Linked DNA regions of Lonchura striata. The protein of the gene in region 1 binds, or shares a complex with, the protein of each later gene. Links are inferred from orthologs where the notes say so. Each region holds a gene or a part of one and is shown on either strand. Other genes may lie near its edges. The genes, in order: AAGAB and AP1S3.

Region 1 (15,601 bases):
AACCACATCCCACTGAAGGTTTCAGCTCCTGCTCCCCAGAGCTCTCCAGGCCACTCTCACCCAGAATCTGAGAAGCAAATGTTGATGTCATTAGAAAGTTAATTATTATGCAGGTTAATGGCTCTGAGTGAGGATGGGAGTTTTTGGGTCTCCTACCATTCTCAGATACTCTGTCACAAACCAGGATCATCACTTCTGGCAGCCACTCTTCTGTCAGGGGCAGCCATTCAGAGACACCCTCCAGTCCAGTTTTCTACAGGGGAAAAGAAAAGTCTTCTTTGGAATACATCCTACAATAGTTTTTAATAGTATTAGAACTGAATTATATAAAGAAATAGGCTTTTTTTGTCTCAACCTTTCTGGTTTCTGCTAAAACAGTTTTCACTGCTGCTGGTTTAGTAGAAACAATTTTGGGTGAAATGCCCTGAATTTAGTTTAGCTCCCTAAATTGTGTCTGTCCCAAAAGAGCCTTTAAGAAGCAGCAGCAGCTAGGAATAAATAAGGAGATGGTGAGCTGGATTTGCCACGGTGGCACAATGACTCCTGAAAAACCCTCTTCCAGCTGGAGGAGAGTAGCAAGAGAGAAGGAAACTGCTGCTATTGTTAGCAGGGAAATTTAATAGTTAGTATTTATTACTGATCTTCTGCCAATGAGTAGAACAGCTTAAAGGGGATGGATGGAGGTTCTGATTTATGGTTCTCACTGTGACAGGGCAGCTACATGAGAGATACAGCAGGAGAATGAAGCAAAGAGCCTTACTGTTGTGCTGTCAAAGTACACAACAAACGCCTGCACAGCCTCGGCGATCTCTCCAGTGACGTGGAATGTGTTTGGGACCACACAGAGGTGGATGTCTGCAGAGTAGTATTTGTTATCTATTGTCCAGGGGTAGAAATTCACTCTTCCACTCGTTATTGCACCCACGGTAAGGTCATCTTTTCCTGTGATACCTGCAAGACAGAAAAAGGGTGAGGAGGAGGGTAAAACCAACAGCAAGAAAATAATTTGTCCAGGAAAGTAGAGTGCCAAAGCAGATCCATCTCTATTATAATAAACCAGTGCATAATCAAGATCTTTAAAAATTCAATTCAATTTGCTATTCTGTCCTAGATTTTATTGCTTAGCTTTCAGAAGAGTTTATGTTCTAGTTTTCAATATAAAATATGGCCCAGAAGCTGCAGAAAGCCTTTTGTTTTCCTGGAAATGCCCTTTCAAGTGTTAACCTCAAACTTAGTATCCGTTAACAGGATGTATGGAGAAGAAACCTAAACTTTATTACAACCCTTGCATGCTCATTGAGATGTAAAGATCTGTTTACCTGTGGCCAAAACCTGAAGGTAACTAATGAGAAAATAAAGCCAATTCCTACAATTCAGCTGGAATTCCCATGAAATTCCATGCAGGAGCTCAAGCATTAGGATCCAGTGCTTTGCTCAGGTGCTGCCAAGCTCTGCCCTCCAAGGTAGGAACCTTCCCAGGAACTCTCCTGGAGCTGAAGCAGAGCATCCCATTATTCCTTGAGGGAAAGGCCAGGAAATCTTGTTCAGGCTGGATGAACTCGTGGGCACTTTAGAACACAAGGTCAATTATTTCTAAAATGGACTGAGTCATCCAGAATTGCCTCAGGCAGGAGAAGAGTTAAAGAATAAAGTACATGGCTTTTCAAGGATTTGTATTTTAAGGTACTGAGAGTTCCTGGAGCTGCTGGAACAGGCTGTTCCAAAAAGTCTGGAGATGAATTTGAATTTATCTGTATCTTATTAGTAAAGAGACAGGAAAACCTCCTTGCCAAGGCTGCAGTGATTTTTACAAGTAAACTGCAAAGCTGAGAAATGGATCTGGTGAATGAGCACAGGGCACGAGGCAGGGAGAGCTGCAAACCAGGATTATTTGCAGCCCTGAGGAGGAGGTGGAATCTGAGGGAGAAATGTGACCTTGGAAACAGAAACCTGTAGCCATTTCCTCTTTAAGAGGATGAAATAGGAGTCTCCTCTCTGGGCTTCTTAAAATAAGAAGTGCCACATCTCAATGACTTTTCCAGGTTCAAGTTTTATTTTATTGTTGGATGGCAATTATTTTTCAGAATATCTGGTCTTTAATCAGATGATATTCCATGCAAAGATTATCCACCTCACTTTGGAGCTGGGGGACAAAGATCTGAGTCACGACCGAACAAACCTGGATTCTGAGCTCTGTATTCTCAGAGGTTTTGTTTTGAATATGATATTAATTTCCCCTTGCTAGTGTTTTGACAGTTAAAAATAAGTAACTAAATTAAAATCAGTCTGAGCTAACAGAATTACAAGTCAGTGCCATAGGAGGTTAAGAACAAAAGGGTGCACAGAAATTACTGAAACCCAGGAAATCAGCAGGAAGACTTAGGGAGGAAAATGGGGTGAGGAAGGAAATCAGCTCTAAAGTCACCTGAGTCAGTCACCCTAACAAGGATACAAAGGGAAAGAACTTTCATAAAAAGTTTTCAAAAGCTGATATGGATTTCACATTTGCTTTGTAAGGGATATCTATTTTAGAAGAGTCCATGGACAAATTTAGGTCTCAAAGCACTGCTAGAATGAGGCCATGTCCCATTTCCTATTATTTGCTACTTGTTCCTGTATTTTAAGGGGTTTTCTTTCATCCCATTGTGCTGCTGATTACCCATCCTTCATGCTGAGGTTTTGCCAATTCCCTGTGAAATTTCTCTCCCAGTAAAAAATGGACGTTGCACACTAAACTCCAAGGGCTTCAGGAACCTGGTGAAAGGATTCAGACCTGCTGTGCTCGGGCTGCTTGTGAAGCTGTAAGAAATCACTGCGGGAAACTGAGCAGTTTGTCAGTTTTCTCCCCAAAAAGTCACTTGGAACAGTTTGGTTTTGGTCTGTAGAGCAAATAAGCAGAGACTACAAAAGAAACATACACTGTAACTCAAACTGAGTTCTCATTTGATGCAGGAATTAGCTTTAAGGGCTGTATTTACCACCCCAGTATTTCAGAAATTTCTTTTCTAGACAGCCTGGATTTGAATGAATACAGGAAATTCAGCCAGAGGAGTTTGGTGTCTAATTCAGGGGGAAATGATGAGAATAAACTCCTAGAAAATTAACATGGCAAAAGGAGGTGGCTTGTCCAGCTGAGCCCTTCTGAGGGAGTTCCTCCTTTTTCATGTGCAACTGCTCAGCCAGGGGATGATCTGAAGCCAGTTTTGGCTGCTCCAGCATCACCTCCTGCAGCCTCCAAAGGCCTGTCCTGCACTGGGCGATTCCCCTTCTTCAGGTGATCCCATGACTGGTTTTGCTCTTTTTGTACCAGAAACCATTAAATAACAAACAGCAGCTGACACACGAGATCAGTTCGTGGCTCAGGAACTGACCCTGCCTGGTGTCACACAGCTCCAGAACTTCCAAACTTCTCTGGAACCTCTCCAGAGGAAAAGGTTTCATTCCTTCCAGGCACTCAGTCACTGCCTTCTGTTTTTCAGCAAGTTCACCAGCTGTGTCCCTTCTTCACTCACAAGTATTTATATATTTTAATAAACCAGACAATAGGTAGGTGTGTATATATATATGTGTATATATATATATAAAAAAATATTTTGGAAATTATTTTCAGCTATTAACAAAAATGTTCCCTCATTTTACTGACTTAAATATTGACATTTAATTTCGTATTTTATCATACAGATAAGATAAATAATCATTTTGAACACAAGCAAGAACATGACAATATTATAAAATCTCACATCCCCTCCCATTTTTAATGCTGAATCTTGTTAAGTCTTCTGAAAGTGCAAATACACTTGAAAAAGGGGAGTTGAAGACCAGAAATAACTTTTCAGAAGAGTTAAATAATCAGAGAATCACATGTAGCTCTCTTGCAGTAGTTCTCTAATACCCAAGTGCTATTTAGTCACTTTTAGTACATTATGTGTCTAATAATAATTTTTAAAATTATTACAATTTCTTTATGCAGGTTTTTTCCCCCGAAGAGATTGATACTGACCACTTTTCATAGTGCTTTTCAGACTGAATTAATGTTTTAAGAACATTATGCCCTAAATGCTCCCAAATCCTCAGCTGTCAGGTACACGGAATGGTTCCCACATTCTGGGCCTTGAGAGCCACCTGGTGGAATAAACCATAAAAAATACTCCTAAAATTACACCAAGGAGTAAAGAGAACCCAAATATGCTGGGGAAGGGGAGGAGGGGAGTGGTAAAAATCCAAAAAGAAAAGGAAGAACAATCACATCGGACAGAAGGAAAACTCAACCAATCTTATTAGCAGTTTTGTGACAAATACATCACAATAACAGGCAGATCTATGTTGAGCACGTTAAATAGCTTTGTTTTGCCACAGTGTCCCATGAATTAAAGCATTTAGAGCACCCTGCAGAAACCTCAACAAATAAAAATGTATCTAGCAAATGTACCCTCAGCTGCTTCTCATCCTCAAGCCATTTTCCATTTAACAGGAGGAAAACCCTGGAAAAAGTCTTGGGATTGGCCTGAAAAGTTCTGGCAGGCTGTTTGACCCCACCAAACCCTCCCCACTGCTGCCCCATCCCTGCCTGTGAATGTTTTACAGTCTGCTGCCTCTGAATCTCACTTGTTTTACAAAGCAAGGATTTAAGATGCTGATTGTATTTATTTTATCCCATTATTTTATTTCTTTCAGGAGGATTTTAATGTAACCCAGTCAGAGGACACACAGACAAGACTCCAGATTTGGAACTGGGAGCAGTGGAAGCTGAGGTATTTCAAAGTGAGCGCTAGTTTAAAAAAAATCTGAGTTTAAATGTTACGACTTCCTCAGATTAAGTAGCTTTTTGCTCACCTGCCTTTTCTACCTGTTTCATTTCACTATGCAAAGTAATCAAAGGGGAAACCTAGAGGAACCTTGAGTAATTCCTTCCAATTTGCTTACACCTTCCTCAAAAAATAAGCTAATAATACTATTTTTTTGGTGTGGAATCTTTAAATAATTCAGTGTCCTGCAGCTGCTTTGACAGAGAAGCCTTGGGCTGAATATCTTGTACTGTTATTTTTATTCCAAAACGTGCTTTAGTGAGGTGGAGGGAGGCAGTTCCTGGGGGCAGCCCTGTGCTTGGTGAGGTCCTAAGTAAGAATTGCTCAGAAAGAGAGAAAAACAAATCTAGAGAAGATTTGAGGGAGTTAAATTCCACATCTTGGTGTGCACAGCAAACTGTTGGTGAACTCCCTAAAAACCAAGGCTGTCCTAACATAGGGAGCTCACCAAGATCCGAATAGCTTCTTCCTGGAATTCACCAAGATCTGAACAACTTCTTCCTGGAATCCTCCGATTTTAAAACTACCCAAAATTCCACCATGGTTTCCTCTACTATCAGATCTTATTCTTGTGTTCCCCTTTTGAGCCATAAAAATGGCAAGTGGTTCCTGGGAAAACTACTTCCTACTTGAATGAGTTCTACCTACTCGGTACCAAATGTAATCTGCAATTCTAGCAGCTGCAGAACAGACACAATTTTTAGCTTTCCCTTTTAATCCTTCCCCACTGAGAAAGCGGTGAATTATTTCCTTAAAGCACTAAGGAAGCTGCTGACACCCTCTGCAAGGGGTCGGGGGCTGCAATCCTCCTGTCCTGAGGGGAGGATTGAGACCCTGAGAGAACTGCGACCGTGAAGGGAAAATGAGAACCTGAGGGGAAATTGAGACCGTGAGGGGGAAATGGGGACCCTGAGGGGAAAGTTGGGACCGTGAAGGGATGGCAGCAACCCTGAGGGGAAAACCGGGTCGTGAGGGGACAGCGGTGACCCTGAGGGGAAAATTGAGACCGTGAGGGAGAAACTGGGACTGTGGGGGGATGGCAGCGACCCTGAGGGGAAAATTGGGTCCTGAGGGAGGAGAATTGACACCGTGAGGGGATGGCAGCGACCCTGAGGGGAAAATTGGGACCGTGAAGGGATGGCAGAAACCCTGAGGGGGAAACTGGGTCGTGAGGGGACGGCGGCGACCCTGAGGTGGGAGGATTGAGACCGTGAGGGGATGGCAGCGACCCTGAGGAGAAAATTGAGACCGTGAAGGGACGGCAGCGACCCTGAAGAGAAAATTGGGTCGTGAGGGAGCGGCGGCGATCCTGAGGGGAAAATTGGGACCGTGAAGGGATGGCAGGAACCCCGAAGGGGAAACTGGTTCGTGAGGGGACGGCGGCGACCCTGAGGTGGGAGGATTGAGACCGTGAGGGGATGGCAGCGACCCTGAGGAGAAAATTGGTCGTGAGGGGACGGCGGCGATCCTGAGGGGAAAATTAGGACCGTGAGGGGGAAACTGGGACTGTGGGGGGATGGCGGCGATCCTGAGGGGAGGATTGAGACCGTGAGGGAATGGCAGCGACCCTGAGGGAAATACTAAGACTGTGAGGAGATAGCAGCGAGGCTGAGGGGAGAACTGCGATCCTGAGGGGAAAACAGCCCCCGTAAGGGCCAGGTCTGGAGGGATCCGCTGCCAGCCTGATTCGCGCGGGCAAGCCGCAGCCCCTGGTTCCGCCCGCTCGGGCGCCGCGGCGGCCCCGACTCACGTTTGACGAGCTCCTCGGGCGCGAAGCCCGCGGCGCAGCTGGTGAGCAGCGCCAGCGGCCGCGCCGCCGCCGCCATGGCGCCCGCGCCGCGCCCCTTCCGCCGCGCCGCTACCACCGCCCGCGGGGGGGACGGCGGGGGAGGGAGCGGGCGGAGCGCGGGCTCGGCCCCCGCTGGATGCGCCGTCCCCCCCTCCCGGCGGCGGGGCGGATGGTGCGGCCCGGCCGGCGCGTCCCGTTGCCGGGCGCGGCGGCGCCGCCATGGCCGGAGCGGGGCCGGCGCTGCCGGGTGGGTTCGGACAGCGCCGGGAGCGGCACCTCCCGCCCGGACCGGCCTCTCCCGCCCCGCCAGAGCCGCCGGGACGCCCTGGGGTGTCCCTCAGCAACCTGGGGTGTCCCGCGGCACCGCGGGGTGTCCCTCGGCTGAGGCGCGGCGCGCCCGGTGCTGCTGTGAGGGGCCGGGCGATGCGCTGAGGGGCAGCGGCGTGAGGGAGCTGTGGGTGCTGCTGCGGGGTTCGGGAGCTCGGAGGTGTTTGTTAACGTAAATAACACGGGTTTGACGTGGGCTGTGCTCTCCTCGCAGGCTGCCTGGAGTTTGTGTCTCTCCTAAAGGGTTTTGAGATCCCCTGCCCCGTGAAAGCACCTGCGTGAGGATACATCATTCCTTAAGCGGAGAATCGCAGTCCTGAAGTTTATTGTCACTGCTTTGTGAGGTTTGTTTGAAAATTTAGTTTTTCCAGCCTTTCTGCAATCAGTGAGTTTAAGTAATTGGCTTTGTAGTCTCTTATAATAGTACAGAACCGTATAAATATCTGCATGGATATTTTTTTTCCCGTATTTAGGAATAATTTAATTTGAATTAAATCCTACCTAACCCCATGGGGTTTGGTTGCAGGTATGATTTTTGTCCCAACTTGCTTTTTAGATTCAGGAAGACCTTCAGAAGCTTAAAATGGAAAAAACTAACGTGAAGGGAAATGCAGAAACCATGGATATTTGTGACCTCAGAAACGCAACTGAAAGGACTGAACTTGGGCTGAGAGTAAGTAAAATAGAGCAGACCTAGAAAATTACTCTGTTTTTAAAGTCTGTGTTAATAATTCACTCAGGCCACTTATTTTTTGAGTTACAAGATCCCTTTCCAATCAGCAGCTGATGAGATTACTCAGACATTACAGTTCAGAATGATGCCTCCCTTTTTGGGTCATCAGAATTAAATGATCTTGGTCAGCCAAAATCAGATTTTTAGTCTGACTGAGACAAAAAGTTTATCAGTTTTTCAGTCAAGCAAAGACCCGGTTGCTTAATGAACTGAGTTAAATAAAATTAATATCCCCTGTATCTTTATAATAGGCTAAAAATAATTTTTTCCTTCACAGAAGCATGCTGAAAATTATTTCAATGTTACAAATGGCCAAGAGTTAACTCTTTCTTCAGCTGGTAATAAAGAAGGGAATTCCAAAGAGCCCCCTAAGTGGTGAGTGAAACAGATGTTTATTGCAGCAAGACACAAAAACTGAGGTGATGTAATCATGTAAAGCAAATGGGAGTATTGACCTAGAAAAAGTTCGTTTAGTCCTTTCCTTTTTCGATTTTAAGTTAAAAAAAAATACAAATGTAAATGCAATTCTAGGTGGCCCCAGCAGTGCTCTGCTAACTCGTGTGGTTAAATGCAAGTTTAAATAGAAATACAGTTGTTTGGGTGGAAGCAGAGTGGGTTTAACGGGTGAAATCCAAGCAATTTTTAGGAAGTTCACTGCCTGTTTCTCTCTCCACCAGGGATCTTCCTTTTGGTGCCTGTCAGGAGCAGCTGGTTCTGCCACCAGTTGAGCCCCTGACTGTGCAGAGGTGCAGCAGATCAGCCCCACGTGTGTGCCAGGGCTCTCAGGTCTGGAACCACACCCTGATCCCTCTGCCAGCAGCCACATTCCAGGAGTGCTTGGTGTCCTGTGCATCCCATAATGCTCTGACTGCCCACAGAGTCAGGGTTTGGTAACACCCCATGGTGAAAGTGTTAAAAAAATCAGCAGAAGGAGCAGCTGAGACAGGAACCTTCTCCCAGCCCAGGATAACATTTAAATGGGGAAAGGTTCCAGAGTCATCCATGCAGGTGTGGAACTGGCATTTCCCACCCAGCCAGGCTGACAAAGCCACTTTTATCAGGTGGTTTTTTATTAATAGTTCCAATTCTTGTGACCCCTGTGTGGCAGTTTTTCTCCCTGCATTGATCATTTCCCTGTCAGCCTGAGTGAGGAGTTTGCACTGGGAATCATCCCTGTTTTAATTGAAAGGTGCTCAATTCCCCCCAATTCCATTTTTTTAATAGCAGCAGCATTTCCTCCCTGCATAACGGTGTGTTATAGTAATAAAATAAATACCACAAAAGCACTGATGAGGTGAAAATTGAACTTTCTGTCTCTGTGCAGCCATGTGGGTAAAAGAGTAATTGGCTTGGATAATAACTTGTGTTCTTACAGCCCCAAATCTAAATGAGCATCTCATTGATACATCTGCTTGTAATTACCATCAAAAGAAGAGAGAATATATAGTGCAGATAGATAAATTAAACCATTTTTACTGCTTTACAAAGTAACACAGTTGTTCAACAGTTCAGGTACCCATCTAATGATTCTTGAACATTTTATGGCATATCTTATTTGTAAAAATTGGAATTTTCTTAGATTTATTTTTATGTTCATACAAAAGAATGTGCACCAAAACATTTTCAATTTAAGAAACTTCTACTGTAGTAAAAACATAGGGCATCCCTCTGTGTTTTATAGGTATGCTTTAGGTATTTCTTATAACAAGAAGAAACTTGTAAAGTCTTTTTCTGGCCATTGGGATTTAAATCATCATGATTTTTATTAGCAGAATAGTCAAACTCATTCCATGCAGATCACAGAGTGCATTATGTTTTAATTCTGATTACTATCAGGCTTTTTTAATTCCTCATTTACTATTAATCAGGTTCTGTGCCTGCACTGATGTATCTATTTGGATAATAGTTCCAGTCCTTACAAACTTTTCCATCTAAACAAAGGCTCTTTGCTGTTTGCCCAGTTCAGTGTGGAGTCAAATAATACAAATTTTTATCATCATTTTGCACATTTACAACATGTTAGCTAGTTTCTGCTTCTAAACACTTCAACCCCAGTGCAGTTATTTTAGGGTTATCCCTATTCTATATTTCAGCAGCAGGTGGAAATGGATTTTAAAATTATGCTTGGCCCGGAGAACGTGGATAATAAAGCTGGTTTAAAACATCCCAACGATGAGACCAGGCTGCCACTTATAGCTAAGAAAAAATCTGCTCCTGTAAGTAACTTTTATTATTTTATGGGTTTATTATATGCATTGCTTTGCACTATTAAAGTTCGTATTTATCAGTCCTAAATAAAATTTTACATGAAAGTAATTTCCTCATAATTTCCTGCTTTTTGACATGGGTATTTAAAGATCTAAACATTTTGGGTGGTAATACTGGGAAAAAGAAATCTGACATGGAACAGGTTTATGTCCCAAGATCCCAATTCAGCAAAAATTTGGATATACAAGGCATGTGCATGGTCAGGAGTGTCAGGAAAATCAGGCAGAGGAGATCAGCTGGAGCTTGGGGACTTCTGGGTGTGACCCAGAGATGCAGGAAAAACTAAAAGTCCATTCTCCTCTCTGCTCTGTGCAAGATGAAGTTTTGATTTTCCCAAATTTCCCTCCTGCAACTGCAAATTTCAGTTCTGCTGCCAGTTCTGCAATTGTTCTGCAGCAGTTGAATGTTAAGATGATATTTTTAGCAAAGAATGCGTTAAAAAAAAAAAAAAACAACCCAAAAGAGAACAGGCACAGCCATCCCTCCAAAAAATCAATTATGTTCACAAATTTAGCACAGCACTGCGGTCCACACAGCCAATGGTTCCCACATGGGGATGCTCTTCTAAAATTTAATTTATGTGGCAGAAACATCCTGCAGCAAGGCCAGTGCTCTAGGAGAGATTCTGGGATGTTTGGTTTTAAACAACATAAAGAGAATCTGTGAATGGCACAGTTGTGAGCTGCCACTTATAAAAAAAAATGATTTTTGGAAAGCTGTTGCCCTGACCTAAGAGGTGATTTGTCTAACCCTGTGATAATAGAGTTAATTAGAAAAAAGCATCATGGCTAATAGCTTTTTAGAACCACTCTAAAACACTCACAGAGAGGAATATTATCCAACTGCAGAGAGCCATGTGTTGTACCACTCTCCCTGAAATATGCACTGAACCCAGCAAACTTATTGGGGATTTAAATTGCAAGCATTTAATGTGAATTACTCAGGCTCCCAGATACATATTTACAGTTACTGAGGAGCTGACAGGCTTAAAAACCAAGCAGATTTTAAAGGATTTTTTTAAGGATTTTTAAGCTGGTACTGATGGATCTGAGTTTCTGGGAGAGCTAGAGAGCAGTAGGTCAGGAAAGGGACAAAGCTTGATTTTTTCCAAATATGTGGCAAACAGTTCAGAGCCATCTCTGGTTACTTTAAGCCTCTCTATTCTCTTCAAAATTTTCCCATTTTAGGGCACAATGTGTGATTTGGGGTGTTCTGCCTTCTCTGGCTGTAAAATTTTTGCAGTTTGCTGTGATACGTTTGTTGTTAAAGGTGGTGTCTACCAGCACTTAAGGAAGGTATTTTGTATTATTATACATGATATATATGATTATTAGTGGTAGGGACAATGAATCTGCGTGCAGCTTCAGGTCTAAAATGCCGTTAATTCGGATGAAATTGAGATTAAAATTTTTCGATTAAATGGAGATTAAATCGCTGCGGAAGGGAGGGGCGGGCGGCCGGCAGGGGGCGCTGTCCGTACGCGCACGTCCCGCGGGTGTCCGCGGGGTCCCCAAAAGAATCCCCGGACAAATCCCCCGTCCCCCGAGTAAATTAAAATCAAACTCCCAACTAATTGCTTGTCTCGAGCCACTCAGGAGTTTTCAACGAGCGGCTGAAAGAGTGGTGAGGTTAAAAAGTCGGGGTTGGAGGTGACCTGAGGGGTCAAGCGCAAATCTACCCGGACTTTTTATTGTCCTGCCATTCCAGTAGCTGGAAAAATTATTAGTCAGGGTTTCATTGTTTCACCAAAAAGTGATGTCTTTTCTTGCTCTTTTGGTATTATAAAGTTGCTGATGCTGGGTTTTATCATAGAAACTAAGAACAATTAACTGTTGCCCTTTTGGACCTTTTTGGGTCTAATAATAATGCTTCATCCTCTGCTAAGTTCTGTAGTTATTTTAAAATGAGGGCTGTAATTCTCTTTGAAACACACACTGGGCATCACTTTTTTTTCTGCAGCCTATATCTGGATGAGAGATGAAAAATGGTGAGTGGATAATTATTAAATATGTATACTTCCCATGGAGTATCCAGCCAGAGGAACAGTAATCTGAATTGCAGCAAAAATAATTCTGATGCACTGCTGCAATGTAGGAAAGATTCACAGCTCTACCTTCTGTTTTCATAGGGCTGCTGTTCTATTACAGAATTATACTGGCACTTTTGGGTCCTTGTTTTCTTATAAATGTATTTTATACTGTAAACTTAGGAACCTTTTCATTTATTCATGAGGTAGAATTTAATATGGTGATGATTTCTAGCCTTTATGAGTTGCATCTTATCTAGTGTGGCTCTAATGGTGATGGCAATGATTCTGGGGCTTTTTTTAAGCTCACTTGTTTGAGCACAACCATTCTAATCACATCTTCAATTATTCATTCTTTATTCAGCATTTGCATGCTGCTAATCATTAACGCTTATCCCTGAAAGTGTATTTATTTTCAAAATTATAAAGCAAGGCAGGGAAATTCCTTTCATTTCAAGTGACTGGAAGAAGTTGTAGAAGAAAACCAGGTCTTTAGGTGGCCCAAAGCTGATTGTGTTTTAAACCCAGACATGTGGCTCTAATTACAGCCAAAGCAGAGTTTGGCAGTGGTGGCAGGATGAGACTTAAACAAATTGATGTCACACTACAGTAAATCAAAAGAAACTCCTTGCATTTTGTATTGCAGCATGTAATCATAATAAGCAGCACGGTGATTGAATAAAATCCTCTTGCCACTAAAAATAAAAAGGAAATAATTGGTGAGAGAGAGTTAAGTTAACAGATGAGTGCAGTCAGCATCCTCTCAACCTGGAAATGGGAATGTGAAGGTCACCCCCATCTCTCCTGACAAACGCAGAACGGTGTGTTGGTAAACAAATTAATCTTTTGAAAGGTCACCATTTGTTTTAAGTTTTCCTCCAGTTCTTGTCATCTGGAATGGGAGATGGAGTGTCATTTCACAAGGCAGGGGTGCAGGCAGAGCTGTTTGTGTGCAGCTCAGCATTCCCTGACAGAACTCCCTGCCTGATTGGGATGCCATGGGCTGCTGCTCGCAGCTGGCTCCGGACAGGAAGGGAGGCTCATCCCTGCTCCCACAAATCCTGCCTGCTGGAAGCTGGCCCTCTGCCCACCAGCAAAACATCTTGTGGTTCAAGGCAGCAATTATCTGCCTCACTCCCTTCTGTGCTGCTGCTGCTGCTGTTTGACAGAGCAGATGTGGGATTCACCAAAGTTCTCCCTTTATTCTCTTTCCCACCTGTTAGGGAGGAATTCTGATGGATCTGGGTTTCTGCTAGAGAGCAGTAGGTCAGGAAAGGGGCAAAGCTTGATTTTTCCAAATATGTGGGAAACAAGACAGTTCAGACCATCTCTGGTTGCTTTAAGAGCTTAGAGAAGGTGAGAATAACACAAGATCTGTTGTTAAAGATGCAATTCCAAATTTTTCCAGTTAAATTTGCCTTCTCTGAGCCCTTTCCTGACAGTCTCCTGAACATCCTGAGACGTGACCTTAGCTCCATTGATTTTATTTTGCTGTGCTTTCTCTTTCCCTTTATAGGGGGAAGTGCTGTGTCCATCAAATCCTGACAGGAACTTCTTAACAACAAATATGACAGCTTGGAGAAGATAGATGGAATGATAAATTAACCTGTTATATCCCTTTTTTTCCATCACTATCAAACTCTGATTTTGTAATATTTACTTACCAAATCTCATGTCTCTGTTCCTGGTTTGGTACACAATACTCTGTAGTAAATCCTCTGTATTTAATACCATTTGTTTTACTAGAGGAAAAAATACAAAGATATTTACCAAAAAAAAAAAAAAAACCAACCAAAAAAAGCTGTTCTAGTTAAATATTGCTAGGTAAAAAGAAAACAAATAGAGAACTAATCAGAAAAATCCCTGTGGTGTTCCAACAAGTGCCCTATTTAAAATGAAGCAAAAAGAAAAAATAAAGTAGGAGAGGTTTATCCACAGGAGAAAAACACTTTAGAAAGGGTAATAGAATTGTTTTTCTTGTGTCCCAGGTTAATTACACTCAGAAGCACTTGAAATGAAAAAATAGTTTTTTAGCACACTCTAAGCATATTTTAAGGCAAGTCAGCCTTGTGCTGCCCTGCAATTTAAGAGCTCACTTCCAGCCCTGCAAAACTGAATTTTAAAAGTTCTTGTGATGAAACAGTGATGTTAGAAGCAAACCTTTATCTTGCTGTACTTAATATTGTGTTTGAGGTCCTATTATAATTGTGTTGGCTTAATTTCAGTGACAGTAACTCCCCAAATGGCAGCGGTTTGGCAGTTTTGCTTGGGTGTCTCCCTGAATTCTTCAGGAGGGAGCCAGTGCAGCAGTCAGGGTGCTGGAAGAACGTGGGAATGGGGAGGGATTGGGTGGAATTTTCCTGGGGAGCTGGTTTGGATCAGCTCCCTGGTCCCACTGTGTTTCTGTCCTACTGACTGATGGCACTGGGCAGTGCAAATGAGAGATTAAATTACATTTCTGTTGCATCAGTCTTTGTTTTAACATCACACCTGCTGTGGATTTTATAGAAATTAAAGGATGCGTCAAAAATAATTCATTATCTATCTCCAATTAAAAAAAAAAAGTTAAAAACCAAGCCTCCAGGCTGCTTTTGAACTCACACACTGCACCTGAACTGCTTTTCCTTGTAGCTTATTACATCTCTATGAACACAATGAAAATAAATATATATTACATGTGCTGTTTATCATAACAAAACCTCATAAGTGGGATTTAAATTAGGATAAAACTGACCAGGAGTAAAATCAGTGCTGCCTTACTGCTACACCAGCAGCAGTCTGGGAGAGGAATCACTGTTTAATTCAATTTCTTGCCTTTTATATATCTTTGTCGTGGCCTCACCAGACTGCAGGGGCTGAGGGTGAGCAGGAAAATGTTGGTTATAATTTCCTTTTCTCAGTATCAAGTCACTTCCATGGCAGCAGGCATAAAGTTAACCTTTGTTCCATGGTTATTGCTGTTTTCTTGGAACACCAGGACATGAGGATTCATCCACCTCCATCCCTTAAAACAGAATGCTCCCCAATGGCCAGAACTAAAATGAGGGGCTGGCTTTGCTCTGAAAGGTTCTCCAGGATGATAAAAAGTACAGATTTTCTCTCCCTTATCTCCCGTGGGCAGTGTTGTTAGACAAAATTGGGAGCAAAGATTAGAATAGTTAATTTTGATCTGTCTCATTTCCCTCCTGAGAGTTCCTTTGCCCTTTCTGGAAAGTTGCTGGGTGCTGTTACTCAATAATTAGGACACAACAGAGCTCCAAGATCCCAATCATGGCTTGGGTTGCACTCAAAGCTTGATAATCACTCATTAAAAGCTAATATTTTAAAGTATTTATTTTTCCTTCTGGTTCCGTGCCTGCGTATGCATTTTATATTTTTAACACTGTTCAGTGTTAAAAACTGCTAAAACTGTTAAAAACTGTTTAAACTGCTCAGTTTTAAGGAGAGTAGTGTAAATACAAACTTCCTGAGATTCCTTCATTAAATAGTACACAAGACATCAATTAAATTTAATTAACTTTATTTTCAATGACTGAAGGAACAACAGTAGACAATACTGTAGCATGTTCACAAGTAATAAAAGGAGTGGTGCACTGTTAAATCTTAATGAAACAGTCGTGGCAGAAATTATATTTATTATTTATTGCTGCAGG
Region 2 (15,938 bases), on another chromosome or scaffold:
TAAAAACTGGTTTTGTCATCAACTAACCATCTTACAGGGAGTTTCAATGTGGCCTTTGAAGGCTTTTTCTGCCTCTCATTCACAAAGGCAAGGATCAAGGATCTCTGAAGTGACTGCTATCAAGTGATCCTATAAAGCTTCTTGTCCCTTTGGAAGATGTAAGGGCATGGGCTCTAGGTAGCTGTGTAGTTTGCTCAGCTTTTAATATGCAAAAGCTAATTGCTGAACAGATTCAAAGACAGCATTGCTTGTTTTATTATCTGGCAATTGAAGTTTCAAAATAATATCAGTAATAAAATATCTGGATTTGTTTTCATAAAATTAAAAATCATTAAGTGAAATATACGGGGTCATTAGAAATTTTGCTTTTTGCTTCTATGCATGACCCTTTTCCCCCCAGCATATCAGCAGCTCTGAGTTGCTGCAACTACCTGCTATCTGTCTCACATTTGTACCCAGGGTCTCTGACCAAAGTATAATCTGGTCACACAAAGAAGTAGAACCACATTTTTTTACTTACTCTTGATGTATTTGGTGGGATTGACTGGCTTGTCTGCAGAAAATTTGGCACATTAATTCCTAAATTGCTTTGTATCACAAAGATATTATGGGATGTGGAGGTACATGGTTTTGTCCTCTTTACCTTTTTTATAGAGAAATACACATTAGGGTTTAACTTGCTCCTAGCTTCGCTACTCTAGCTGTCTTTCAAGTAAAGAAGATACTATGCCTTGCACTATCTGTACTGAATATCTGAAGCCTGTTTTCAGCTGTTCTCAGTTACCTATCTTCTTTCTGAAGCCTGTTTTCAGCTGCTCTCAAAATCTACATGTGTAATTTGTCAAAACTCTTTAAAATTTCATGAGCTCAAGTGCACCTGTGCAGCTGATCAAGAGTGGGCACTTCTTGCCTGTTCTCGATGGCATTGCTGCTAAGCCATGGCTGGCTGTCAGTTCTAGTGCTGTCCTTGACCTTTTCTCTGTTCTCATTCATTTCTCTGTCTTTCTTCTATAGTATACGGCTCCTTCTCCGGGTTTCCTCCACAGCAGCACATCCATGGTGGAGTTTGGCTCCCTGAGACAGGCGAAAGCAGCTCTTGAAGCACAACTGCCCTGCTCACCCGAGCCTCCTGATCTGTCTTGCAGTGGTTGAATGAAGGATGGCTGAGGCAGCAGACATGGAAGGTGAGTGTGGTTTAGGAAACAACCCATTTCCTTATCCTCAGTTACATGGCTCCATCCCATTAGGCACCCAGAGTAGTGCAGCCATAACTTGGTGATTGACAAGGAAGGTGTGGAATAAACAGAACTGTCCATAGTCAGAGTTTGGAGAATGTCAGGGTGATTTCTGCAAGGGTAGAGAATTGCACATGTCTAAATGGTGTTTGTGGGACACTCTTTAAAACTTGAACTCACAGGCATTAACTGAAAGAGAGAAACAAGGCTGTAAATTGTGTTCATTACAGTCCTTTTATGGAGAAGAAATGCTGGGAATATCAGCATGCTCACAGGCAATAAGGGGTGCTTTGGTCCTACTGCAAAGCAGTGGTTCCCTGTTTTATGGTATGAATACACCAACTGAGCACTCTGCTGTTTCAGGAGCATGGGTTGCCTGCAAGCACAGGAGCCTGAATGGGTTTTAGTTTTACAACCAGGATGGAAAGAGGAAAACCATGGAAGAAACTGAGTGAAGGTGTACAGGGCAAAGAACTGACTGGCAGTGTGGTTAAGGCATGCAGAGCTGTGATTTTGGGAAGATAAGGAAGGATGCTGTGGCTGTAATAGCTGTTAATCCAGCTGAACACAAGAGGGCTACAAGAGCAAGTTTTGGATTGAAAATGTTCTTGATGGAGCTTTTGTAATGCCTGTTTACCTTTTGGCCTGCTTTTAATTTAAAGCTGGGAAATGAAATGGAATGCTACTTGAGACCCTTTAAGTGCTTGTATACACCTATCACTTCAGAACAGACTATAATTATTTGGATTGCTATTTTTAATATTTTCTAATACTTTATAAATGTTGGGATTACTTACTGAACGTGTTGCTGCTGATAAGGTACCAACATCTGTGGCGCAGGTACATGATTTGGTACGCGCTCTAGTGATATGAATGCTTTGTTCTGCACTTAAATTGTGGAGAATCCAGACTTAGTGAGCAAATAAGGAAAAGGCAACATAGGAAAAGCAGTCTGGAAAAGTACAAGCCCTGCCTAGTAACCAAGTGCAAGTGTTAGGTTGCTTCTCTATTGATCCGAAGTGCAGTTAAAAGCTACCTCCTGCAGCTGAATTTAAATTGGGCTTTTAAAGTTTTTTTATTTCCCCCAAGGACCTAGTATCTAGTGGTTAAAAACCTGCGCAGCAGGTCTCCTATAAAATCACCAAGTGGAGTGTTCATCAGCCTCAACTCCTTGGTTTGCACAGGGCAACTTACCTGAAGGAGTCTGTGAGCTCAGTTCAGGTGCTGAAAAACGACACCAAAGCATCTGCTGGCTAGAATCAGAATAAGTGCTCAGTGTTCTGTCTCATTTATTGTGGTACTCAGTGTCAGTGAAAAGACTTCTTCCTGCAATAAAGGATAGTTTGGGGTTTTTCCAGAAGGAAAGCTTGTGCAGTTTTGTTTCCAAGAAAGCGAGCATGTTAGATTTTGTTAATTCCCTACTGTTCTTTAGACAGTAGTTTGTGTCTCTTAATTGAAGCTGACAGGATTTGTTTCTCTTCAAATGCATAGGAAAATAACTTCCCAATTAATTGTAAATCATTGTGAATATATAGCTTTACTTATATGTTTCAGGATTAGCTTCGGAAATACACAAAGCTTGCAGAGATTAGGAGGACCCAAGACAAAGCCTGTTGCAGGTTTACGCATCTGACATTTTAGCAATGGCTTCTTTTCACATAAATAATGCCCAGAGCCACCAAAACTGCTGCTTAGGAGCTAGGGAAGTTTTTTCATCAGGTGTAGGCACTCAAGGCTCACTGAATCCACTGTAACTCTTGGTGTGAGTGTTTTCTACTTCTGAATATGACAGGCTGCTAGGAGAGTGGAATATAAGCAAAGAGGATAAAATACGCCAAAGCAGTAAAAAGCTCCTTGCCTCTCTTTAAAGCCTGTTTCAAAGAACCCTTAAGAAAGAAAATGTTTATACTCCTTCCATGCAGAAAAGGAAGCCAAAAAAGAAGGGTCTCAAACCTGCTTTTTGCAGCAGTTTTGAATTAGAGAAATAAATATGCATTACTTTGCAAACATTCATGTTCAAGTTAACTAACTGGGCCTAAGGGAAGCGCTGGAAGGAGCTCATGTTGTGGCATTTAACTGGCATAAGTTCACCCCATTGGTTCACCTGGCACAACTGTGTGCCCCAGCTGCCTCCCCCTGCTGAGTGACATTAATAGCTCAAACTTCCCAGCTAGGAACTACTGATGGTTATCTTCTTTATAAGAAAATTATACAGCTACACAGTGCTAGTGGAAGAGAGACAGGGAGGGGAGAATTCCAAGTCCTTTCCATGGCTAGTTAGGCAGTCATTAAGTGCAGCCTGGCTTTCTGAGCTGGAAAGGATCTAATTTAGGCATGATCCTATATCTGCAGGCTTCTATAGGGCTTCTCTCTGCCAGCTTTCAAGATTGGCCATAATAGGCTGACTTTGGTTACTGTTCTTAATGTTCACTCTATCCATGTGGTGTTTGCTGCTGCTGCCGCTTTTTTCTGATTACTTGCAAAAACACACAAGCAGCAGGCTGGTTCTCTTGAGTTTATGGCCTAATTAGGTAAGATCTTTGCATAGGAAAATAAAATTATAGGGGAACAGTTGTTAAGCAAAAAAATATTATTGCCCATCACCTGAGTAAGTTACACAGGTAGGGAGTCAGGGGTATGTTCATCCCTTAATTTTAAATTCCTTTTGGAGATGGAAGTATTGATGCCTCACATCTGTTGCACTGTGGTGTCCACGTTCTTGTGTGTTAGGCAAATCCAGTTCTGAGTGTTCCCTGAGACCTGGCTTTCCCAGAGCTGCAGTGCTGTGAGCACTGCCCGTTCACCAAGGCAGTGTTTGGGGTTTAAGTGCAGGTCAGCCCCTGTTCTGCATAGGCCACAGCAGGTAGAGCTGGGGGTGCAAGGGACAGGGGTATGAACATGGTTATGGGGAAGGCAGACATCTCCTGGGAGAGGCGGTATGGGTACTGTGGCACTTTGTGTGTCTTTTGGAGAATGTGGTAAAAGGTTTTGGTCTGCTTTAACAGATTCTGATTGTACTAAGTATGTATTTGGCAGGCTCACTGAAGGCAAGGTGGTGCCCCAGTAAAAAACCAGTGAGGCCCGTGCTGTCTGGCAGCACGGCAGGGTATGTGCTGCACCCCACAGCACAAAGTGTGAGATGTTCCTGCCCTTTGGAGATAGTGCTGCTTTATGGGCGCGGGCTGTGCACTCGGGAAGGGCAGAGGCCAGGGCAGTGAGCAGATGGAGTATCTCTGAGATCTGTGGGGCAGCTGGGCCGTGCACTTTGTGTGTGTGGTGCACTCCAGAAGTGAAAGCAGAGCACTAGGCAGCCGGCAGCATCACAGCACAGTGTGCCACGTGCTGCTTGGTGGGCTGGGGCTGCAAGATGCAGAAACCACAGCTCAGCAAGCAGCCGTGAAGGACTCCAGGAACAGTGTGTCTGTATAGACCAACCCAAAACTTAGGGAGGGCTGAGCAGAGTAGAGTCATGCACAGTTGGGAAAATGTGGAAATTACCTCCACGCTGTTGCACGAGCATAAGGAGCACACACCTGCATTTGCACTCTGCTCTTGCAAATTTGTGCTTCCAAATGGGAGCAGGTTTCAGCCCAACTGCCCTCTCTATTGTACATGCACAATTGCTTTTAGCCAGGGATCTCTCTTCCTTCTCTGAAGCCAGAGGCTGCAGAAGGGTTGTTGTTGACACCACAGGGATCCCTGAAGTCCCCAGGTGCCTTTGCATTTCTTTGCCTTTCTCACTGATAGCTCACATGCACCACTGCACCCAGGAGCAGGGCACAGTTCTCCCCTGCCTGTGCAGCTGGGATCCATATCCTGAACTGATGCATGCTGTGCTCTGGGAGATGTCTCTCCTTTGGACTACAAGACATGGGACTTAAGCACTTTATGCTCCTGCAGTAGTTTGTATCTGGATCAGACTCCTCGTAGAATTGAGAAGCCTTAGGCCTGGATTTAGATCTTTTGATTCAAGTGCTGAGTGTGTGGATGTTGCACATTCTTTTGGCACCAGCTGCTTATCAGCAAATCCCTGCCACAGGTTACGGGGATTTACTGATGTCCTGCCCTCTCATTCAGCTGCATCACAAAGCACCGGTGAGCCAAGCCCAGCCACTGTGAAGGTATTTAAACCATCAGAGTTCCATTTTGATGGAGATGGGCAGCAGAGCAATCATGCCTGTAGATCTACTCGTGTCTTTAGGGCATGGACGCTTGACGGGGGATGACCTGAAGTGCGTTTTGTTGGTGTCGGCTCTGCCGAGGTGAGACAGGCGCCCTGGGAGCGGCTCACCGAGCCGCAGGTGCGGCCGGGCCCCGCGGCTGTCAGCAGCCCCGCCGCCGGCCGGCCCCGCCCGGCCCGTGCCCCGCGGCGCTGCCCGGGCGGCGGGAGGAGCGCCGCGAGTTCCTTTCGGGGCATTGTGGGAAGCCGATGCGGCCCGGCCTCACCTGAGCGGGGCGGGCGGGCCGGAGCGGCGGGCCGGGCCGGCTCCCAGCCAGCCGCCGCACCATGGTGAGTGAGCGGGCCGGGCCGGGGCAGCCGGGCCCTGGGCGGGCGCGGAGCGCGGCCGGCGGAGCGGGGCTGCCTCGGCACCGGCCGCGCCGCACGCTAGAGCCGCTCCCAGGCGGGCTCGAGCGGGGCTCGCACCTGTTCGGGGGAAATGAAAGCCCTCTTCTTTTCCGTTTTGTTTCCCGACCCTCGGGATGAGCTCGGGTCACGCCGAGAGCCTGCCTTAGACGACCAGGGAAGGCAGGCTGCTACAGAGGGGCTTTTAAAAGTCTTCCTGTAACTCGAGGAGCTGAGGTGCGAGTCGGCTCCAGTGCCGGGAGAAGGATCGATGAGGTTTCCTGTGGGTCTGTCTGTCTTTAGGCTGACTGGCGGCGGTCAGTGTAGGGCGGTGGGATTTCTTGTGCGGGATCGTTGGGAAGAGCTTTTCCCCGGCTGTGTTCCCTGTTGTCAGGTAAGTGGAGGGCTCGCACTGCAGCCCCGCCTCCAGCCCGGGTGCTGCTGCACCGCGGCCGGCTCTGATGGGGCTTGGTGGGATTTGGCTGCGCCTTTCCATCGGCTCACGAACGCACCAGCGAGAGCGTGTGGGTCTGGTTCTGAACCTTCTGTCGGTCACCAGTGGCACCGTGCGACCCGGCTCCAGGGCTGGGAAGGGGCAGCAGCCCTTCAGGTTAAAGGGCTGACGGACGGGGTCCGGGAAGGGAGAGCCTTCGCCTCTCCAGTGCTGCGCTTGGTGCTGGTTTGCTGTGATCAGAAAGGGGTGCTGTGGATGCTCTCTTTTGTTAAGAATGATGGCCAACATCGGAGTACAATAGCTAGATTTTCCCCAGAGGGGACTGCAGGCTCCCAAGTAGAGGTGGTCAGTGATGCCTTTTAATAGAGAAACCATCTCACTGCTTGATAATTCAGGCTTGAGGCAGGTTCTACAGGCATGCCCCGAGCTTCTGTCTTGCACAATTTGCCCATTGTGCGCACCTGTAATACCAGTTGCTGGCAGTGCAGCTGAACAGAAGCCTCTCAACTCCTTCAGTGGAGGCCAAGCGCTGTTGTTTGTCTCTATCCTCAAAGGCAGAGCTGTGTTGTTTCTCTTCAGTGGTTTAGCCAGAATGCTAAATATGTGTTAGTCTCCTGTATTTAGAAAGGTGTACCTGTCATTATATTTGCAAATAGAATATGCACAGTAATGAGTTTACAAATGGCAACGCAGTCTCCACACCTTAAGTCCCTGTAGAGATGTGACTTTTCTGGTTACACCCTGAGATAGCCCTACATACCCAGTTCCCTTTGGTAAAGCTTATGTAAACAACTGGAGTTCCTATTTTGCCCTTGAAGGTCAGTTAATATGGGAGCTGATTTCAGGGAATGTGATCTCCGAACTCTCCTTGATGCGGGTACTTCACAAATGCCAGTTTTCAAAGCACTCACGATAGTCCCAGGGGAGCACTGCTTTTACAAGAGTGCTGCTATTGATGATCTGGAGTCTGGCTGCTGTATTGATAGTTAGAATTTTACAAGGTGAGTGTGCATTTTTACAAGTAAGAATTTTATTTTTATTTTTTGTTTGAGGCCATAGTACAAACACTTGCTGGTGTTACTGCATCATATTAGTGCTGTCAGCCTTACCCTGTTCTTCTCTTGAGGATCTGGTGCTGATGAAACAATGCTTTTGTCAGGGAGCTCTAGCTTTAAATTCCTCTTGTCATCTAGTCTCTGGAAAGGGGTTGTTAACACTCGCTTATGAGTCAAGGAAAAAGGGTTTGCTGGTTTATAAACCAAGAATAAGCCTTATCCAGGCTCATGAGTGGTGAACTTTACACAGGCCATTGAAATTTTCCATAGACTGGTTCCTCTGTTTTCCAAGTTGTGCTTGCCACCTTTTTCTGTGTTTTGAGGTGGAATTAAAGGTGCTTGTGCAGATGGTGCCATGTCTTAGCAAGAGGGTTGTTCCAATTGTTTGCTCTCTGCAGATTTCCAGGTAAGTTTCAGGGAAGAGTCTGTTCAGCAGAGCTGATTTCATATCCAGCTAAGAAACACAGCTTTTATGACCAGCTTGTGCTTTGTGACATGTTTGTTTTTTTTTTTTTTTAAATTGCTTTTGAGAAAGACTAAATTCTGCTTCCTGATATATGTGGGTGCAGCAGAGATACATGTTATGAAGGATTGCTGTCTCAACAGAGTGGGGAGAGAGCACAGAGGAGAAAAAGATAAGTCTCCCCAAGGACATGTGTTACTGTTAGTCTCTTGTGCCTGTAAGTGTTGCAACACCTCGATCCTACTGCTGCCTCAGTGTTACCAGGATTACTTTTGTGAATACATACAGAGCTCTGCTTGCATAGCTCTGCTCAGAATTGGTGCCTGTGTAGTAAAGGGTCTGATTCCCGCCTACCTGTGCTGCTCATCACTACAGGGAGACAAATTAGTACTTGTGGGCTTGATCTGAAACCCTGGAGAAAGATCAAAAGAATCCCATTGAGCACCGTTGCTCTAAAAATGTACTTGGCCTGAATAGAAAAGGAGTTGGCAAGCACTGTTTCCACTTAGCAAGACTTTGATAACCAGTCACTGATCTAGAAGCTGGGGTGGAAATACTAGTTGATGTGACTGCTGCTGACACCTCCCTGGTGTTTGGAAATGAACTCTCAGCTCTTCTGAATATTGAGATCATCAACACTCTCAATGCCCTTAATGGTGAAAATGGATGTAGATCTGCAAAAGATGTTTTCAGTGCTGCACAGAATTTACTATTTACAGTTCTAAGAATGACTGCTTATTTTCCACTCATGATACAGCTGTGTATTGGCCGCAGGAGGACAATGAACTTTGCCTCTAGGCATTTACCTCTGAAAGACAAGGAAGGCAACAGATTAGAACAGATGAGAGGAGAGAAAATGACAAATAAATTAGTGTGTTGTTGGAGGCAGCAATTCTTATACTAGATGACAAAAAAAAAAGTTCATGTGGTATTTCTTTGTTGATTTGTCTTGTAGTGAGTTTTTACTATGGTAGTACATAATGGCAATGGAATGGCATCCTGTGTAGAAGATCCTGAGTTTGTAGACTTTCTGCTTGCAAAGGGGTGACTGCAGGGGAAGTGATAGAAACACATGAAATCATGAACACTTGAAGACTGGTTGCTCTACAAAGAATCAGGGTACATCCTGTAAAATATTTAGTCACTAAATGTATAAAAGATAAATGGGAATACTTTTTCACACAGTGTAGATGACTGTTTTCGGTCCACTGCTGAGCGTGCTGTGGGTGTCCCAGTAAACCCTCTTTACATAGAGGGTGGGGCCACAAGTGGGTTGTTTGCATGCAGTTTCTGTACCATAATTCTTAAACCTATTGATTTTTGGAGGTGGGACTACCAGATGATTTTACACATGCTCTGTTCCTTATGCTTGTGTCCTTCTGGAAGCTGCTTAGATGAGAGTACAGTTCAGGGGCTGATCTGGCATTCTGTTACTCTCTGTCATTCAGTTGGATTTCAGAACAATGTTTTGTGGGATTTGTGAGGAAAAATGTTTTTACAGTTCTTTGGAAGTGTGTAATCTCTGACTTGCCAGTTTTGGATGTTCTTTCTCCGAGTGCCCATGACCATTACAGATGGTCACTTTTTAATACTGGAGCCTGCTCAGGCCATGTAGGAATTGCCATTCATGCTTTACTATCCCTGGATATTAAGCTCATTCCTGAAAAGCAAAAAAAAAAAAAAAAAAAAAGACAATCTGCTCATTATTTGCTTAATAATCAGCAGTGTAACAATATTTTCTTTAAAAAAAAAATATATCTTTTGCTCAGAAATAAAGATACTGCAGGCATTTCAGAGCCAGGAGTTACTAGGATGTGGGATGCCTAGAGGGCTTTAGAGAAAGCATTTAGGGATGGCAAATGCAGGAAGAAGGCTGCAGGGATAATGGGCAGCTGGGTCTGTCATGAGGCAAGAAAATGACAGATTTTGCTGCTTTTCCATGTCTTTAGTTGCTCCAAAATCCCATGCTTTATAAACGATCCCATGGACTTTCTGAAGCCATCAGTTACCTGCAAGAGCTGCAAAAGGACAAAGTGATGAAAGCACTGAGGAAACTGGTGAGTCAGGGAGGGCAGATAGAGCTACCCCTCCCTCAAGCACCTGCAAGATTTATGCTTTGGCATCCACATCAGGCTGTGAGCCAGTCATGGTCTTGCTAGTGATGCCTAAATTAAAACAATACTGCTTGTGTGAAAAGAATTCTATCACATGTGCCCTGTTACTGATTTCCATTCCTGCCCTTTCATTTCCTACTGTCCTATTCCTGCAGGCTGTCATCTGCATTTTCTTGGCTGAGTTGGCTCTGTGCTTTCTTGAGTGCCACTCCTGGGCCTTTGCATTTCTGCAGATGTTGCAATGTAGAGAGGGAATTGCAAGATCCTGTCCTGCAAGCATGGCACATCATTTGGGAGTAGGAATACAGCATGTAAAGGCTTTGGGTTAGGATGTAAAGGTGCAATTTACATTTGCGTGTTTGAAAGCAAGCTTGGCGTGCCTGTCTGACCTGGAATGTCCTGATGTGTGTTTCTCAGTATTACAGATACAACCCCAGGTACTCCATGCACCAGTGTTTTTTTCTTCTCTAGCTTGCTGAGTTTATGTAGGATATCCATCTGCTCTCCTCTGTTAAGGAGGGCATTAAAATCCCTCTTCACTAACCAGTAAATGCCTGTTGTTGCCTTGCTTTTGGAGCTTGGGGATAGTTTTGCTCAGACACTCAAGCAGTTCTCAGTGGCTTGTTAATCAGCACAGGAGCTCTGTGGTCACCATCCTCTGCTTAGCCCCCTGGGGTAAGTGATGGGCACTAACTACAAAGGAATGAAAAATAGACTCTTTGTTTGAGTGAAATGCAGAAATGTACCATGTTGTGCCTTTGTTGTGCAAGGCTGTGTGCTGGAAGGAGAGCAGGTGGGGTGTTGGGCGAGTGCCTGTGTGCTCTGAGCTCCAGGGAAGCTGTGGGAAGTGCTGCATGAGACTCAACAGCCCCTGGGCTCAGGAGATGGAATGGGAAAGAGGCAGTACCCCAGGCATTTCCTTTCTTTGAAGTCTCATGACAGGACTTGGGAGAAATAGCAGAATGAATTTTTGATCCTTTCTCATTCTACAGGTTAAATATTGGATCAACATATAAAGCATTTTGGAAGATTTTCTGCTCTGGCCCTTGCTTCTGTAAACAGTGATTGCTTCTTTTATGTTTATACTTAGGTTAAATCCATGTTAGTTTTTACCTTAATGAAAAAATGCCATTTTAAAAGGGAGAATGGAGAATTTCTCAATTGAAAATGCCTAAGTTTAATGCTTCAGTGTTTCCAAAAGATTATTCTGTGCTCTTTCAGAGTTGTAAACATGATCTCAGCTCATATGTATCTTTAGTCGTTTTGGAGCTCAGGTTTTCTGTGAGCATCTTTGTTGGGAACTGGAGGAATGGGTATGAGGCTGCTGCCAATATGCACTGTTCAATCTGCACACGGGAATTGCCAGGCTGGAGTGCTCAGCTGCCTGAGGAGCCAGGTTAGCTTGTCACCATCTGTGTGTGCCTGCTCTGTCCCAGAGCAAAGGTTTTTAACTTTGCTCCTGGAGAGGTCAGAGGCAAGGGAAGGGCACTGCAGTGCCTTCATGTAGCAGGGAAAGCCCAGTAAATAACTGATAAGACAAAGTGGAAATGAAACTAAAAGAGAAACCTTTTGCTGGAATCCACTGAGTGAGATTTTAGCTCTGTTTCTTCACTTGGAGTTCAAGGAGCAGGCTGGAAAAATAGCTTCTTGTGCCTGTAAAGTGCACTGGGGTTGTAGTGAATTAGGGGTAGCTCTCAGCAGCTTGTTCAGCCTCTCCCCTGGTCCTTTCCTCCTTGTAGAAACCTAGTGAAGTGGTCCTCTGCCTCCCAAAATCATGTAAGCAAATAAAAACATCTAAGAGCCCAGCCTAGGAGGCAGAAGGGATGTGATTACCTAGTTAATAATTGTTTCAAATCTCTTCAAACTGCTGCTTTCTGTGAGCTCAGCAGGCTCACATCCCTGCTATGTGTCTTGTGGTGACACTGAAGGGACAGTGGTGTGGCTGCTTCCCTGGCCTGCTCTCCTATGGCAGAGCCTGAGGCAAACTCCAGCCTGGGTCTGTGCTTGCTTATTACCTGAAAACTGCAGTAATTCCACTTGCAGGAATAAAAATTTAAGAAAATAAAGAGTAATTATCCTCCGTAAAACCTGGATGCCATTGCCTGCATCCACCCCTTTGGAACTGTTTTGGAAATCTGTGCTGCCTCTGCTCTCCAGAGCAGTGCAAGAAGTCTGTCCCTGTTGGTGGGACAGCCCAGCCTGTGAGGAGGAGGCACAGGCAAGCCTGTGCTGTAGGGAGGACACTGGGCAGGAATGTCACCAGCTTGTGCCTATGCTGTAGGGAGGACACTGGGCAGGAATGTCACCAGCCCATGCCTGTGCTGTAGGGAGGACACTGGGCAGGAATGTCACCAGCCCATGCCTGTGCTGTAGGGAGGACACTGGGCAGGAATGTCACCAGCCCATGCCTGTGCTGTAGGGAGGACACTGGGCAGGAATGTCACCAGCCCATGCCTGTGCTGTAGGGAGGACACTGGGCAGGAATGTCACCAGCCCATGCCTGTGCTGTAGGGAGGACACTGGGCAGGAATGTCACCAGCCCATGCCTGTGCTGTAGGGAGGACACTGGGCAGGAATGTCACCAGCCCATGCCTGTGCTGTAGGGAGGAATGGATTCACTGGTGAAGGAATGCCACCCAGTTTGTGAGGGATGAGCCAAGGTGAGGACTCCTATAGAGATAAGTGGGAACAGAGCTAGAAGAAGCTTGGGCACTGAGAAAACTCCTTGAGCTTTGTTTTCTGGTTCTTAGTTAGGGGTCAGGAGTGAGCAGCTTGAGCTCACCTATACTGTTTTGATTATAGTTTTATTTAACTCAAGTGAGGCTATCAAGAAGGTTGTTGCTGTCTGGATTGATAGCATATGTTATAAATATCCTTAAAATGCTAGTGTGCTGGTCCATTTAAATCTTCTGTAATAAGATAAGGGTGACTTCTGCATCATGAAAAGCATAAAATCAATGTGTAACTATGGTCACGTGTGCCTGTAATGATCTGGCACAGCTTTTATTGCATGGACTTTGGATGTATTGTTCAGGGGAAATTGCTCAGAAATGTTCCTAATGGAGATTAAGTGAGGAAGAATCCTGTGCCAGGTAGGCAGCAATACATTGCTTCAGAATTTCTGTGTTGCTGGGTCTGTGTATATTTTCTTTTTTCTTATTTGCTTACATCATGCAGACTAAGTACGTGTTTGAAATTTTAAAGCTGAGAGCCAACAGTGTTTAACAAACATCTGTCAGCTCCTGTGCTGCTGTGAATAAATGCTTTAGTGACAGAGCAAACAAGTAAGGAAATTAATATTTTTAATAAAGTAGTCTGTTTTGAATTTTACATATTTGCTTTAGAAGTGTCTGAAACCCCAGAGTGTTTATTAAAGGTCAGTAGCCAGATGGGATTTCATGTAACAGCAGAATACCAAAATACCTGTACCTGAATGTGTTAGTATACTGTCTTGTCCTGATGTGGGTAGATTGCTAATAGGTCAATAGGTCTGTTCAGTGCATCTTTCTCATTTCACCCTAAACACCTGGCATTCCAAACCAACTGTGTTCACTATTTTTTTTTTTTAATTTCAGTATTTACTTTCCTCCCACCTTCAAAACAAAACAAAAAACCCACCTCACTGAACAAAGCAAAAACTAAAAGGAATTTTTTATTCTTGAAATGTTTTAGAGATAAAAAAAAAAGCTAATGGCTGGAATAATGTGAATGTTCATATTTTTTAAAAGAGAAAATTTAATGAAAGTAGGTTTTGTTCATTTTCAGTTGTGTTGTACAAATAAATACTGATAAAACATCTGGACAGCTGTCTATATTGGGAAATAGATTCTTTCATATCAGAGGAAAGAATGAAAAATAGTAAAAGAGAAGCAGAATATGAACTCCATTAGACTAAAACAGTGGCAGCAGATCAAGCAGACTTCAGGGAAATTAGACTAAGTTAAAAAAGAACTTTATCATGGCAAGTAGCTTCCTCTCCACCAGGTACAGCCAGTCAGGCTGGTTTTCCCCAGGCTTCTGTTGGCAGCTGAAGGTCTGGATTTTCATCCCACATCCCATTTTATGTGGTGTGGGAACTTTCATTGATTAGCATGTCTTGTATTGTCTGTTGTCCTACAGAAAGTTTTTAAGGAAAGCTGAAAGTTTCCTTGCTCTGCCAAGATGTCTGTTCAAGGATAGCAATTCCTAAGTTGCAGATTTTACTTGCCTGTGAATTTCAGGTGTCTGTTTTATAAAGGTGGCTTTGATTTTGGAGGGCTCTTAACCGAATTTGGAGAGGTTCCAGCTGAAGCAGAGTGTAAGCCCAGAGCTGCTGAAGTGACAGATCTGCCTCACAAAGTAAATCTTTGCCCAGCCACACACCCAGACAGGAAAGGGGATTCTTGCTCTTTTTTCTGCAGGCTTCCTCTTCTGCCTTCCCTCCCCTGAGGCTCCTTGATGAGTTCCCCTCTCCTCCCCCGGGGACATGGTGAAGCCAGATGCCACAGAACAGGTTTGGAACCGGTCAGCCCATGTTATGCAGGTTGGATTACAGGAAGAGGAGCAGCAGTTCTAGTGCTTGTTCTTTCTCACAGTGGGGTGAATTAGAGCCTCTTGCACACCCCTGGAGATCACCTTGTAGGAGGAAATGGGACATCTTTTACATGTTGGTGTTATTAAACAGTGAACTGGAGAAATTGCTCTAGGAAAGTCTCTTTCTCATGTATTCATTTTTATCTGCTACCCCTGCAAGTGGCTTGTTGTGTATGTAGTGGAATGCAGCCCTTTAGACAGTTGTACTAATTGTTGCAGATTAGGTTAAATTTTAAACCCTCTGTAAAGGCAAAAATGATCCAAGTTTGAAACTACTGAGCCAGTTGTGATGTGTTTGATCAGTCTGAAGTGTGTAATGGCCAAACAGTGGGGAAGGCTGCACCAAAGGGGACCTGCAGTCCTGGCAGGGAGCAGTCCAGAAGACAAGCTTGGGTGAGCTGCTTATCAGATTGTTACAGCCCATTAGTTAAAGGAGGGAAAGGTCTCCCAAAGAAGGTAGAAGGAAATCACAGTGTGTGTTATTTCATCTAGCTCTCTCGTATTTGCTGCTCATGAATATGTAAACCTTTTGTATTTTGCATTTTTGATGTCTATTCTATTTATTGGTAAATTATTTTATGTTAAAGTCTAGCATTTGATTTTTTTAAATAGCCCTGAAACTAAGGGTGTTGGTTTTTATCCTGGTACAGTTTTGTAAATCTTGATAGAACAGAAGGCCCCATAACTTTCCAATCTGTTAAGTAACTTTCTGCTGCAATTGATTCATAAATGCACAAGAAGGGGATAGAGTTCTAGCTTAGAAATTTTTAAATGTTTAAATGTTTAAATGTTTGATCTAAAAAATAACCCCAAAAACTATTTTTCCAATAGCCTACAAATAAAAAATGCAGTCATTTGGACTATTTACTGATGTTTATGGAGGTCATTTTGCACAGTGCTGTGGGTGGTTGGGTCTGATTCATTAAAACAAGCTAATAAAATTATTCTCAGCTCCCAGACTAAAGCTTGTCTCCACAGACTCCACATGTGAAGGAAACCAGTGCTCTCTTAGGAACTTACTCTTCATCTCAACTCACTCAGTCTTGGACCTAAAAATTCCCTCTGGCATCAGCCCTGGGTCTGGTGATTGTTAATCACAGCCAGCATGCCCTGGGATGGTAAGAAAGGGAGCCAAGCACCCTGCTTTCTAAGGTATTCTGCTTGTAGCAAGTCATTTGCCTTTGTTTTCCTCTGGAATTAGAACTTTTAAAGATGATTAAAGCATTGCAGGGTAATCTGCTTCTCTTTGCAGTTTGGCTGCTGAAAATGAACCAAAAATTTCTTAATCAACATCTATCTTGTCATCAGCACTATAGGAAAGCAAATATGTTTTCACAGTCAAGGAGCAAGGAACAGATGAGCTGTTAGATCTGTGTTTGTGCAGTACTTCAATATTATCAGGTTTATTGATGCATCAGAGTCTTTCCAGTGGGATGTAATGAACAGAGCCATGAGAGTGAGAAATGTGTTGTGTCATGACA

What was found.
Region 2: the proteins of AAGAB (region 1) and AP1S3 are in contact, whole or in part, in a crystal structure (PDB 9DDT), measured with the Homo sapiens proteins. The link is inferred for Lonchura striata from reciprocal best matches to the Homo sapiens genes AAGAB and AP1S3. Residues at the interface, in NP_078942.3 of Homo sapiens: Asn51, Lys52, Tyr53, Tyr54, Glu108, Val109, Met110, Ile111, Gln128, Ile132, Gly135, Phe136, Glu137, Asp151, Phe153, Pro154, Glu155, Arg161, Gln164, Ala165, Asn167, Ala168, Asn169, Val170, Met176; in NP_001034658.1 of Homo sapiens: Arg10, Gln11, Lys13, Arg15, Gln37, Leu40, Ser41, Arg61, Tyr62, Ala63, Ser64, His85, Val88, Asp92, Phe95, Val98, Glu100, Leu101, Asp102, Ile104, Phe105, Asn106.

Annotation. Positions count from the first base shown.
Region 1 is NC_134613.1:23,172,327-23,187,927, forward strand, and holds the start of AAGAB (alpha- and gamma-adaptin-binding protein p34), read right to left. Parts: upstream 6,653-15,601; 5' UTR 6,632-6,652; coding exon 6,556-6,631; intron 952-6,555; coding exon 761-951; intron 254-760; coding exon 157-253; intron 1-156. UniProt on the Homo sapiens protein: May be involved in endocytic recycling of growth factor receptors such as EGFR.
Region 2 is NC_134612.1:9,423,586-9,439,523, reverse strand, and holds the start of AP1S3 (AP-1 complex subunit sigma-3), read left to right. Parts: upstream 1-9,797; 5' UTR 9,798-9,807; coding exon 9,808-9,828; intron 9,829-15,938. UniProt on the Homo sapiens protein: Subunit of clathrin-associated adaptor protein complex 1 that plays a role in protein sorting in the late-Golgi/trans-Golgi network (TGN) and/or endosomes.